Oryzias latipes: one gene and its partners. The protein of the gene in region 2 interacts with the protein of the main gene of each other region in a pairwise test. Links are inferred from orthologs where the notes say so. Each region holds a gene or a part of one and is shown on either strand. Other genes may lie near its edges.

Evidence for each region.
Region 1: the proteins of dmd (region 2) and traf3ip1 interact in a two-hybrid assay, tested with the Homo sapiens proteins (2 studies listed by BioGRID and IntAct). The link is inferred for Oryzias latipes from reciprocal best matches to the Homo sapiens genes DMD and TRAF3IP1.
Region 3: the proteins of dmd (region 2) and ctnnal1 interact in binary tests that used the Homo sapiens proteins (3 or more experiments, as listed by UniProt). The two-hybrid records come from large-scale screens. The link is inferred for Oryzias latipes from reciprocal best matches to the Homo sapiens genes DMD and CTNNAL1.

Annotation. Positions count from the first base shown.
Region 1 is NC_019879.2:26,421,957-26,425,610, forward strand, and holds part of traf3ip1 (TRAF3-interacting protein 1), read right to left. Parts: intron 2,092-3,654; coding exon 1,930-2,091; intron 1,445-1,929; coding exon 1,286-1,444; intron 1,181-1,285; coding exon 815-1,180; intron 731-814; coding exon 653-730; intron 550-652; coding exon 529-549; intron 1-528.
Region 2 is NC_019860.2:133,578-137,331, reverse strand, and holds the start of dmd (dystrophin), read right to left. Parts: upstream 2,484-3,754; 5' UTR 2,335-2,483; coding exon 2,253-2,334; intron 1-2,252. UniProt on the Homo sapiens protein: Anchors the extracellular matrix to the cytoskeleton via F-actin. Ligand for dystroglycan.
Region 3 is NC_019869.2:9,189,227-9,192,880, forward strand, and holds part of ctnnal1 (alpha-catulin), read left to right. Parts: intron 1-836; coding exon 837-926; intron 927-1,044; coding exon 1,045-1,203; intron 1,204-1,372; coding exon 1,373-1,465; intron 1,466-3,654. UniProt on the Homo sapiens protein: May modulate the Rho pathway signaling by providing a scaffold for the Lbc Rho guanine nucleotide exchange factor (ARHGEF1).

The DNA of each region.
Region 1 (3,654 bases), on a different chromosome or scaffold from region 2:
CCAGGTCGCCATAAGCCCCCCCCCGCTCCACAAAGATGGACAAACAGATCCATAAACGATTTGGTTTCCCTCGTCTGAACTGGCATTTGGCTCAAAACTTTAAGAACTGGAAAGCGCCAATATTCTTCGCCATTTTTGCTTCACCGGTCATTTTTTTGTTAGGAGTGGGTGAAGCTGTAAGGTAGTGGGAGAGCATGTAAATAGAAGGGTGGCGGGCTTATGCGGTTTACGCCAATAATCCCGCCCACAACTCGGGGGTGAATTTCTAATGAGCTGCTGCTCTGCAGACCCTAGAAAGTGACACCAGCATTTTGATTAAGCCTGTAATCATAATTAATTCAGCTCTATTCAATAAGATGTTATTTATATAATATTACAACGCAGGTATCTCAACGTGCTTTTAGGTAGAAAACCTAAAATCAGTTATAAAATACAAAGCTAAATTCACTAGGAAAGCTTTGAAATTAGACCCATAGATGATTGGAGTGGGACTTTTAGAGGCAGAACTGTTTTCTAGGGTTTCATTACCTCTTCATCAGGATTTGGTTCCTTGCAAAAACACGAGTTACAACAATAGAAAAATTCATTTATATTTAATAAATCCTAAAATTGTGCAGATTAGCTTCCTAATTATACTAAATGATAAACTTACCGGTGTCCCCGTTTTGGCTGTTTGACTGTTGATCTCATCAGAACTGGGTTTCTGCTCCGGTTCTTCTGGCTCTCTGGTCTGAACACAAAAGCATCTGTATAATATCTACCATTCTTTGCTACTAATATATAATCAGACATTAAGGGAAGTGAAGTTTTGTACCCTTTTATCCCCACTTTCTGCACGTTTGTTCTGCTCCCCTTTGCCGTTTTGTCGCTCTCTGTCTTTTTCCTTGTGCTTTCCTTTGTCCCGGTCTCTGTGAGAATCTCTGTCTTTGTCTCTTTGCCGATCTCTTGTTCTGTCCTGCTCCTTCTCCTTGTCCCGAGCGCGTCCATTGTGGCGTTCTTGCTCCTGGTCTCGACTCTTTTCTCTTTCTGCTGCGGGCTTTTGGTCGCTGCGATGGCGCCTGTCAGAGTGGTCACGGTCACGCCGGCGCTCCTTCTGCTCGCCCTTGAGCTGCTGATCTTTGGGCTTCACTGTGTCTTTCTCTTCTCGACTGCTGCTGCGCTCGGTTAATCTTTTCTTCCCCTGAAATGGTTGAAGTGAAAAAGAACATAGACAAAAAATACACAGAAAAACAAACAACTGATTAAACAAAAACAAAAAAAGAGGGCATCTGTACTGAGAACTCACATCTCTATCTAGACCATGGCTGCGCTCCTCCCTGTGCCTCTTGTCCTGGGATTTCTCTCGGGATTTGTCCTGGGATTTGTCCTGGGATGTGCCAATCTTGGTTTTTGGGTCCACCTTTCCTCTTGAGAGCACTTGCTTCACTGCTTCATCACTGGATAACTGCAAAAAGATAAAACGAAAATAGAATTCCACTCCTGTGACAAATCAAACCTGAGATGCTTAGCTTTTGTCGAACTGATCTGACTCGCTACTATTTTTCACTCACTTTACAATATTTCTCCACAAGGGAGAAACCTCCAGATCGATAATCACGTTTGTCACATACGTATCTGTAAGTTGTGAGACGTTTTTATGTTGCCAATAACTGTTTCCATATTGTTTAGAGGAAGAAGTCCCAGAGCATCAGTTCATCCGTTTCCTCCCATCTCCAGGGTACAATTAAAGCTTTCCAGGTTTTTCCTGAAGCTAAACAACCATTTCCTACAGAGTGTTGTTAATCTAATGAATGTGAAAAATAGATTTAGGTTTTTGAGTTTTCACACAACAGTTTGGTCTCCGGAGTAACTGAGTTAACATTAAGCAATCATAAAAAATGTCTTTTCTCGTGTTTTTTTTTCTGTGTGTGATCTTTCAGTGACACTGACCTTGTTGAGGCAGCATCTGCCGATGGCCTGCAGCAGCTCGTTGGTTTTCTCCGGTTCGTGCCCAGCAACTATTCGTGCAGGCTTTGCCGTTAACGGCTCGCCACTTACCAACGCCACAACGTCTATGGCTTTCTGGAGGAAAGACATTCTTGCTTCTTTGCCCTGAAAAAAGAAAAGGATCACCAGAAAGGTGAGTACAAAAACATATCTGGAAAAAGAAGGAATTCAAGGGTTCTCCCTTTTTTATTTTTTATTTTTGTAAGCACCACTTTCTAGTTTACCAGTGAATGTTGTGACCATTAAATAACAATTATACATAAGAGGAACCAGCAATTTAAAAATTGCTCCTCTTTGTAAGACGGAAATCAAAAGGCATATTTTAAAAACGTTTACGGAAAACCTTTTTGTTTTGTGAGACGGCAGAAATTCATGCTTCCAAAAACTAATAGGACAAATCTGCAAAAAAGCACAATTAGTTAAAGATTATTCACTCCATCCTTTTAGGTTTTCTAGAAAATGCTAAACTAAAAAGTACTTTCATGTCACCTAACTGTAAGAGCGTCTCTACTTTGCTTTTTTTTGGGTACAATCTGTAATTTAATGCTACATATTCAAGATAGGATCTAAGTAATGGTCCTGCACAAAAGACTCTTAATGGTTGAAATTAAATGAAAAAGAAAATGGGGAAAAAAAACACAAGTGGGTCCAATTTTTGTCTCTTTGATGTGAGGCACCAAATGATGTCCCAGGAGGATACATTACTTCACAAATCACATGAACGGGGATCCATTTTTTCCACTTTTCCTCCAGCCTCACTCTAACATAAATCCACTATTTGAAAAGTTGTAAAATGCAGGTTTGGATGAGAGCTCTCTGTTCACAGAGAAACAGCAACCCTGAAAAATTACAAATGTTTGGTAACAATAATCAGTTCTCATCAATTTAAAAATAAAAAAATGATAAAACAAATAAGTGAAAAATACATTTCTAGATGGTCAGATAAATGATTTCAACGATGCTTGATCTGAAACTTGCTTGAGTGCAGCTTTCTGTTGGTGGAATTTGGCAGAATTCAGGCAAAACTGAAGTGAGTCCCACTTACTAAGGATAAGCACTACTACAGGCTCATGTGCCAACAGCCGACTAGAGTTTTAACACCTCAGAAAACCTTCTCAGAGCCAGAGCCTGTCACCAAAGAGCTTCTCTTTCAGCCTGGGTGTTCTCTTACGCCATGCGCAGACGGCGCAGACTGCGCAGATGGCGCAGACATATTTCAGCTACACAAGGTCGACCTGGTCTTCTGTTACTTTTCAGAACAAAAAGCATTTGTGCAAAATAATAATAATTAGAACAGATTAGTTATTAAATAAGTCAGCAGAACATGAACAAACCAAAAAATGTGCTACACAATGTTACAATTTGTTTATGCTAAAGTTATGTAGAATAGTTAAGTTTAAAATTATCCTTATTGGAATTATTTACTATATGCAAAAATGTACAACATTTACTTTAATACATATATATATTTATTTTAATAATGTATGTTTATATGTAATGTTAAATATATTCGTTTTTATATTTTTTTACTTGAGTAAGATGTTCTATTTATCATCCATGTTTTCCTACAGATATTCCCTTCATTTTATATATAGATATAGAAGTTTATTTTCTTTTAGGGGGACTTTCCGCTCTTTATTTTGTCAAATCTAACCGGCTCTCCTTACA
Region 2 (3,754 bases):
GGATATTTGTGTCCCCACCCACCCAACACTACCCCGGTGTGTGTGTGTGGGGGGGGGGGGGGACCTGAGCACCCTCCAACCAGGGTTCCCCAACATGCCCCCAACTCTAGACAACAACAGCCAGTAGTAGAGAGCAAAGGGCCCCGCCCTCCCACAAAGGGGGAGGGGCCAGAGCAGAAAGGTGAGCATGAATGGACCAGAACTACAGCAACACAGACCCCCCCAGGGCTGAATCTGATCTCATCCTCCGCTCATGTACCAAGAAGAGACCCCCACCCCGTCCTCACGTAGAGGAGGGAGGAAGTCCAGGTAACAGCCGCTCTGACGCATCTACAGATGTTCAGAGTTCTGACATGGGCCCGGCCCAAACTGGTGCCAGACCTCCTCATCAACAGGTGGGTCTGGTCCGGTTTCAGATGTGCTGTAGTGCTGATGAGCAACAGCCTTTTCCCCTCAGTATACAGACAGCGCATGCGCACAGCGTGCAAAGCAAAGTTTGACAGAAACAGTCTTCCATGTAACTACCATCTGCGCATGTCCGCCAGCATTCAAACTGGACTAATCCTCTGCCTGCACGCGCTCACCGACGCACTCCTGTCTCTCAGCATGTCATCAGAACGCCACAGCCGCGTGCACGTTTGGTGAACTCACCTGACACGCAGGAATTTCAGCCCAAAGCCTGACGTCAGTGAGCGCGTGCGGCTCACCTGGGAGCGCGTCGCCTCAGCCCTGGCTGAGGTTCCGGTCCATCCGCAGAGGAGCGGCTGAGCCTCGCGGACCCGAACCGAACCTCCGTGACGGTTCCGCGTTGGTGACCCGGCGCTCTCACGGCTGCAGTCCGCGTTTGAACGTCTGGACGCTCCGCCGGTACCGAAACACTGGCCGCCTGACCGCCTCCCGTTGCTTCTGACTCCTCCCCCCCGCCCCAGAACGCAGCCCCCCCGAGGTGACAGCGAGGATGAAGAGCCTCAGATAAACCAAGCCTTCATCCTCCTCACTGATCTGCAGCAGAAGATGAAGATCCTCCGCTGAAGCTGTAGTCACGTGACAACCACGTAAACTCTATGAAGAACTTTTAGCCCTCCAGCTGTGACGTCACGTGATCAGCTGTTTTATTATGTTCTACAATCCTGGAGTCTATGATGAACGCTTTCAAAACACACACACTGCCAAATTACTATTGTTATTTCTTTTTAATACCCTCTGATGGTTTGAGTGTGGTTTAAGAAGGAAAAAATTACGAAATGAGGCACAGTTTATTGAAAATATGATGAGACGCAAAGAGCCGCAAGCTCATTGGCCCAGAGCCGCGTGCGGCTCCAGAGCCGCGTGTTCGCCACCCCTGCTCTAATACCATATACACACACATTTTATATGAGGACCTTACAACCAGTGGACTTTACAATATGTCCACTTTGAAACCTTTGGAACTGATTGATTTAAACTCAGAGAAAAACGTACAGATCATTTTTCTTGTATTTTGGTTTCACTGGTATCAGTGGTACTGGTGGTAACGGGTAAGGGATACGGGTAACAGTATTATTACTGTTGGACAAAATTGGTCCCTAATCGGAGCCCTGTGGGACTTCAGTACCATCTGGATGTAGGATTCATCGCTCAGAGGCATCCTGATCTAACTAAGATAACAACATTTAGAGTAAAGTAGACCATATTTTTTAAATAAAAATATTTATTTACTATAATATTAATAAATAATCGTTTTCATAGCTTCTATAAGGATTGAACATTTGTGGAGATGGAAATGTGAAATGTTGAATTCTCATGGAAATAATCAGTTTCTGATGTTCAGATTGTGAAGCCCACAGTATGAGAAAGGAGGGCAAACCACCACCAAAGTGTAACATTTCATCTGACAGATGCAGAACGCTATTCTATAATCTATTCTGATGGATAGAAACAAACCAAAATCCAGAATTCTCCAGTCAATAATCATGTTTCTAGAAATGTTTTACGAGGATGTGTGTCTAAAAAAGTCAGATGATCACGTCAGGCTGGAAAACTAAACTCCTGGGTCTTCTGAAGACCAGAAAAGACTACAAGACTTTCAAGATCAGGAAGTTTCTCTTCATTTTTACCTTTTTGTCCCACAGGCCATCTGCTTACATATTTATTATTAGATTCAGACATTAATCTTCTGCCATGAAAACATCTGACCACCCAGAAGGCCTGAAACCTCAAAGGAATCTGCTCAGGAAAGAACATGAAGTGGAGCTCAGCTCACACATCCGTACCTGAGCGACTCTTGATGATCTCTCCAAAGTCATCTTCTCCCGGCTCGTCGCAGTAATCCTCGGGGCGAGCGCCCTCGGCCATGGTGAGAGGCGGCGGTTGGGACGACCAGATGTAGGAACCAAACAGCCTCAAGGAGCAACAGGCAGGTTAGAAGGAGAAGGCTGGCAGCAGAAAGAGGGCTGTCACCCAGTGGCAGATGGACAGGAGCAGGTGGAGGAGGGTGGGTCATTCTGACCCCTAAATAGGAGATGGCTGAGGCCCCACCCACACCACGGAAAACCGGACACCCCAGGAGCGGTGGAGTCACATTTTGACCCTTCAGGACTCCAAGTGGGTCAAAGTCAGAAATGTTCCAATCTGGATTGGTCGAAACCAGAGCTGGGGGGTGGGGGCAGCTTTAAAGAAATCTGAAATGTAAAAAATCTCACCCCCCCTCCCTAAGATCTCACAAACAGACTATTATTAGACCCACCCCCCAGTTGAGGTGGTTCTTGCTAGTGTTTATTATTAGCTACACAATGTTGCAGAAGCTCCACACAGTCAGGGATGGGGGGGGGGGGGGGTATACAGCTGAATGTGGGGCTCCAGAATAAGACCGGCTGGGCGACAGGGTGGAGCCTGAGCGTGGGGGGGCTGTTCATATAGGAACATCTTATGAAGAAGTTTAATGAATCCACTGCGTTCTGATGATGAAAACATAAATAGTCTATAAGAGATACATTTATACAATTCTCCTAAATGATAAACTGTCCAAACGCAGTGCATTGTGGTCTATAGTCGCCATTCTGGTGAGCATTGATGCACACTGATTTTTTACAGGGACTTCTGGGAAACTTCTGAGACACTGGATTTTGGAATTGCAGACTTAGACATGCTGAGAAAATGGTGAAAGAATTCAGACACATGTAGTTGTATGATGTACGTGTTGAAATGTTTGTGTCAGAAGATTCATCACCATCTATGGTAACAGCAGCATCTGTCCAACACAAGAAGCCTTCAGCTCTGATGTGTTTGCTCAGCTGTTGGACAAAACAAGTGAAAAAAGTTCACTTCCTCCCACTGCCTTTCATGCTATCAAACTCCTTTTGACAGATGGAATATTTAATGTTTTCAGTGTGTCGTGTACTGTATGTAACAGAACCTATTTATGACTGAGAATAATTGATTATCTGCATGTGTATGTGTCATGTATTTTCCCATGTTTTCCAATGGACAGGGACCCAAATGTAGAGGTAAACAAGGGGTGAAGGTTCCTTTCTGTAAATCAACAGTTAGTCACCCCTCATGTAAGTGGACGAGTCTCCATATGCTGCCAGAATCTTAAGCTACTAGCCATTAGCATCAGACATACTCACTCCTGAGGGAGCTCACGCGCGAGACCGCGGCCTGTATGTACATCCCTAAACGCGGTCACGCTGAAGCAGGCTAGAAGTCTAACAACCATAGCAGGACTGCAGACTCAAACTCCAACAGCTGTTATTCTCTTTTCTGGAGATTTTAC
Region 3 (3,654 bases), on a different chromosome or scaffold from region 2:
ATCTAGTGAGCATCAATGCACACTGGCTTTTCGCAGAGACTTCTGGGAAATTTCTAGGGCACTTGATTTTGGAATTGTAAATTCAGACAGCACTAGAAAATGGCGAACGCACTGTGTAGTGACTACTGAAGGAATTCGGACACAACCTGTGTATTTTTCTCTGTGTCTTACTACCAAGGTTTAGAGTTAGCGAAGTCACAGTAACATTTCTTTTAGCTGTATCAGTCTGGTTTCTTTTATGTGTTACTAACAAGTTTGGGAGTTACATCTATTATTAATACACTTATGTGGTTAGCATTCCCAAGACTATGTAGTTTTTACGTGTTACTAACAAGTTACTTACAAGTTACACAGGACTTTGCGAAATCCCAGTAACGTTTGTTTTAGTGGTATCAGTCTTTTTTTCACGTGTTGCAACCAAAGTTGTGTGTCACAGGTATTGCAAATTTGCTGACGTGTTGTGGATTCAGACTGTTTTACTGTGTTTTTTTTTCATGTTACTACCTAGGTTGGGAGTTAGCTTAGTGACAGTAATGTTTGCTTTAGCAGTATCAGTATTTTTAAACAAGGTTACAGATAGCCTATTGTGACGTGTGGCCTTTCACAAATTCTAGAAATACTGTGAATGCAGTTATTAAAGTTTGACTGACTGACTTATGTTTGCCTCCTTTTTCTTGCTAAATGTGGGCTCATAGTTCGGTGCGCCTTTTATATGACATCATTTCAAAAATAGACCATTTATTGACAGGGCGTCTTATATTCCGGTGAAGAATATATGTTAGATTTTGTGTTTGCATTCAAATCCACTATATTAAATGCATATTGTCCTCTTGCAGCAGCAGTCTGGCAGTTCCAAAGAGGCCACAGAGAACTTGGAGGTGGCCATACTGAAGACATGTCACAGCATGGGAGACCTGAGGCGGGAAGTGAGCAGCGGCCTCTTTTAGAGTCACAATGCCACCCTCCCTGTTCCACAAACGTCTCTCATTTCTGCATCCTCTCCTTTTATTTCTTATGCTATTCAACTGTGTGCCCTCCTCTCAGCTGCATAACGTGGCAGTGGGCCGGGCCTCGGATTTGTTGAAGGTTCATGGAGAGCAGCTGCCTCTAAGGGCTCTCAAAGCTGCGGGTGCTGAGGGAAACCTGGAGGCAGTAGCCGATTATTCGCGCAAGCTCACCGAGCAAAAGGAGCAGCTGGTGGAGGTAAGCGGTTGATGCGCAAAAGATGCTACAGAGAAAAGGAAAAATTGAGATTTATATTAGTTTCAATTGTTAATTTTTTTGTGCAACTGTAGTTAATACTTTACCAGCAAAATAAAAAAAACACACACACAAAATAATAGCTTTTATGATTTCCTGTGTTTTTATCCAGACATGCCGACTGTTATGCCATGTATCGTGTACAGAACCACTGGAGATTACCTGCATTCATGCAGAAGAGACCTTCCATGTTATCGGCCCACAGGTATAACCCACTGATTATTATCTGGAACAGGGGTGCCCAAATCCAGGCCTCAAGGGCCAGACTCCTGTTGGTTTTCCAAAAACCCTGTCTTCTCTGGTGCTGATTACCTGGATCAGGTGGGTTTAGCCAATAAGGAACTTCAATGGCAGGTTGGTTGGAAAAGATGTCGGACACCGGCCCTCAAGGCCTGGATTTGTGCACCCCTGATCTAGACTGACTAGCAATGCTGCCTAATTTTCTGTTTGAGTGGCAAACAAAAACATGATGGACTTGAGTTATTTTTAAAGCCCCTGTAACTCCAACATTTTATTGCATATTAGTAAAGTTTAATGGGTCAAAACTGGGATATAAAATGAGACACGATTCCCTAAAGAGTGCAGATCTATATCCTGTGCAGAGGGTGGGAAAAACTCTTCTGTGTCTGGCTTTGCCCTCTATTCCTGCCATCCATTCAGAATATTTGAGAACATGTTGTCCACCAAATCTCACATCTCACATATAGTTATATTTGCTCTCGGAAACCATCCGTACCAGTAATTATCCAGCAGAGTAGAATGTTCCTGTCCCATGGTGCTTATGTCAGGCCACACACGACTCTGCAGTAATGACTCAGCTCCTAAGTTTAAAGATAAACCAATCAGGAAAGGTGCCATTCAGGGTGCTGCAGGTGATTTCACTCTCCACATGCTCAGGTAATATTAGGGAGGCCAAAAGGATAATTGCCAATCAGATACAACACTCCATAGGATGAACACGGGAGGGCTGTGAGTACAGATATACATAATTTCCACATTTTCTTAATCGTTTTCTCTCCATTTATTGGGTCCATAGATTGGAATCGATTGCAAATATCAATATAACACTACACACCCAAAATAAAGAAAGGTGGGCACCTTTATTTAACACGACATCCCGTGATCGTGGAAAAGATATTTGAGTGTCAAATCAAGTAAAGAAAACATCTAAGGAGATTACGGAAGTTACCAGAATTAGGTTAGGAACGGTTAAACGCAAGATCAAAAATTGGAAGGATAGTGGGAATCTATCGTCTCCAAGAAAGAAAAAGTTCAGTTTAGTGATCGGCAACCCCTTAATGTTTGGTGAAATTAAATTGACGACATGACAGTAGAAAAGTGAAAGTAAGAGCATTACCGCACATACAATGCAAAGGAAACTCAAGGGACTGGGACTGAACAGGTGTTGCCTTAAGATAACCTCTGAGAGTGAGGCTAATTGGAAAAAAAGCTTCAAGCTGCAATGGAGTTTAAATATTGGATACTGGATCAATGGAAGAAGGTCATGTGGTCCAATGAGTCCAGATTTACCCTGTTCTAGAATGATGGACACATCTGGATAAGAAGAGAGGCAGATGAACTGATGCATCCATCATGCCTAGTGCCTACTCTATAGGCCTGTGAGGCAGGGCTATGACCGGAAGTTTAGGTTAGTTCAAAGAATGAGTTCAGCTGACTACCTGAATACAGTAGTCCAAAATAAGTACTCATCTTTACTAAATATTATAGATGTTTTAAAGTTGTAAAATCAAATCAACACTTTATACACCTTTCTCGAACATGAACATTTTCACACTTTTCTGTCTTGTTTAAACTCTCAAAGTTCAAACCTTTTATAGAAAAATTTATTCAGTTCTATGGAATAAAAGCAAACATGTGATCGCGATCGAAAATGTATTTAAAATTGGCAAACAGGACGCAGTCTGTACAGGAGACATGACAGAGGAGATCAATTGACAATGGTCTCCAGCCAATTAGGATGCAGAACATAGTCCGCTGTTAAGCTACCATACAATGCTACCGTAAGCAAACTTTTATCCGTCATAGTAAGCAGGTGATTAGAACCTTCAGCTTCTCCAGAACTTCTCACTAAGACCAGTAGGTGGGCTCACATCACCCCCGATTTAAAAATACCTGCCATTGTAAATGAGAACTGGACTGTTTGGAGGTTGGGGGGTTGGGGGTTGTGTGTGGGTCCGGGGGAAGGGCACAAGCTCTATTTTAACATTCTTTTGCTTGTTCCTATATAGGCCTGCACAATATACCGCAAATTTATCGTTATCGCAATATCCAGCTCTGCAATATGCATATCGCAAAAGACGGCGAATATCGCAATAAATCGCAAACCCAAAATGTGTTAAAACAATCTTCTAGCAGCTTGAAGCATTTAACGAA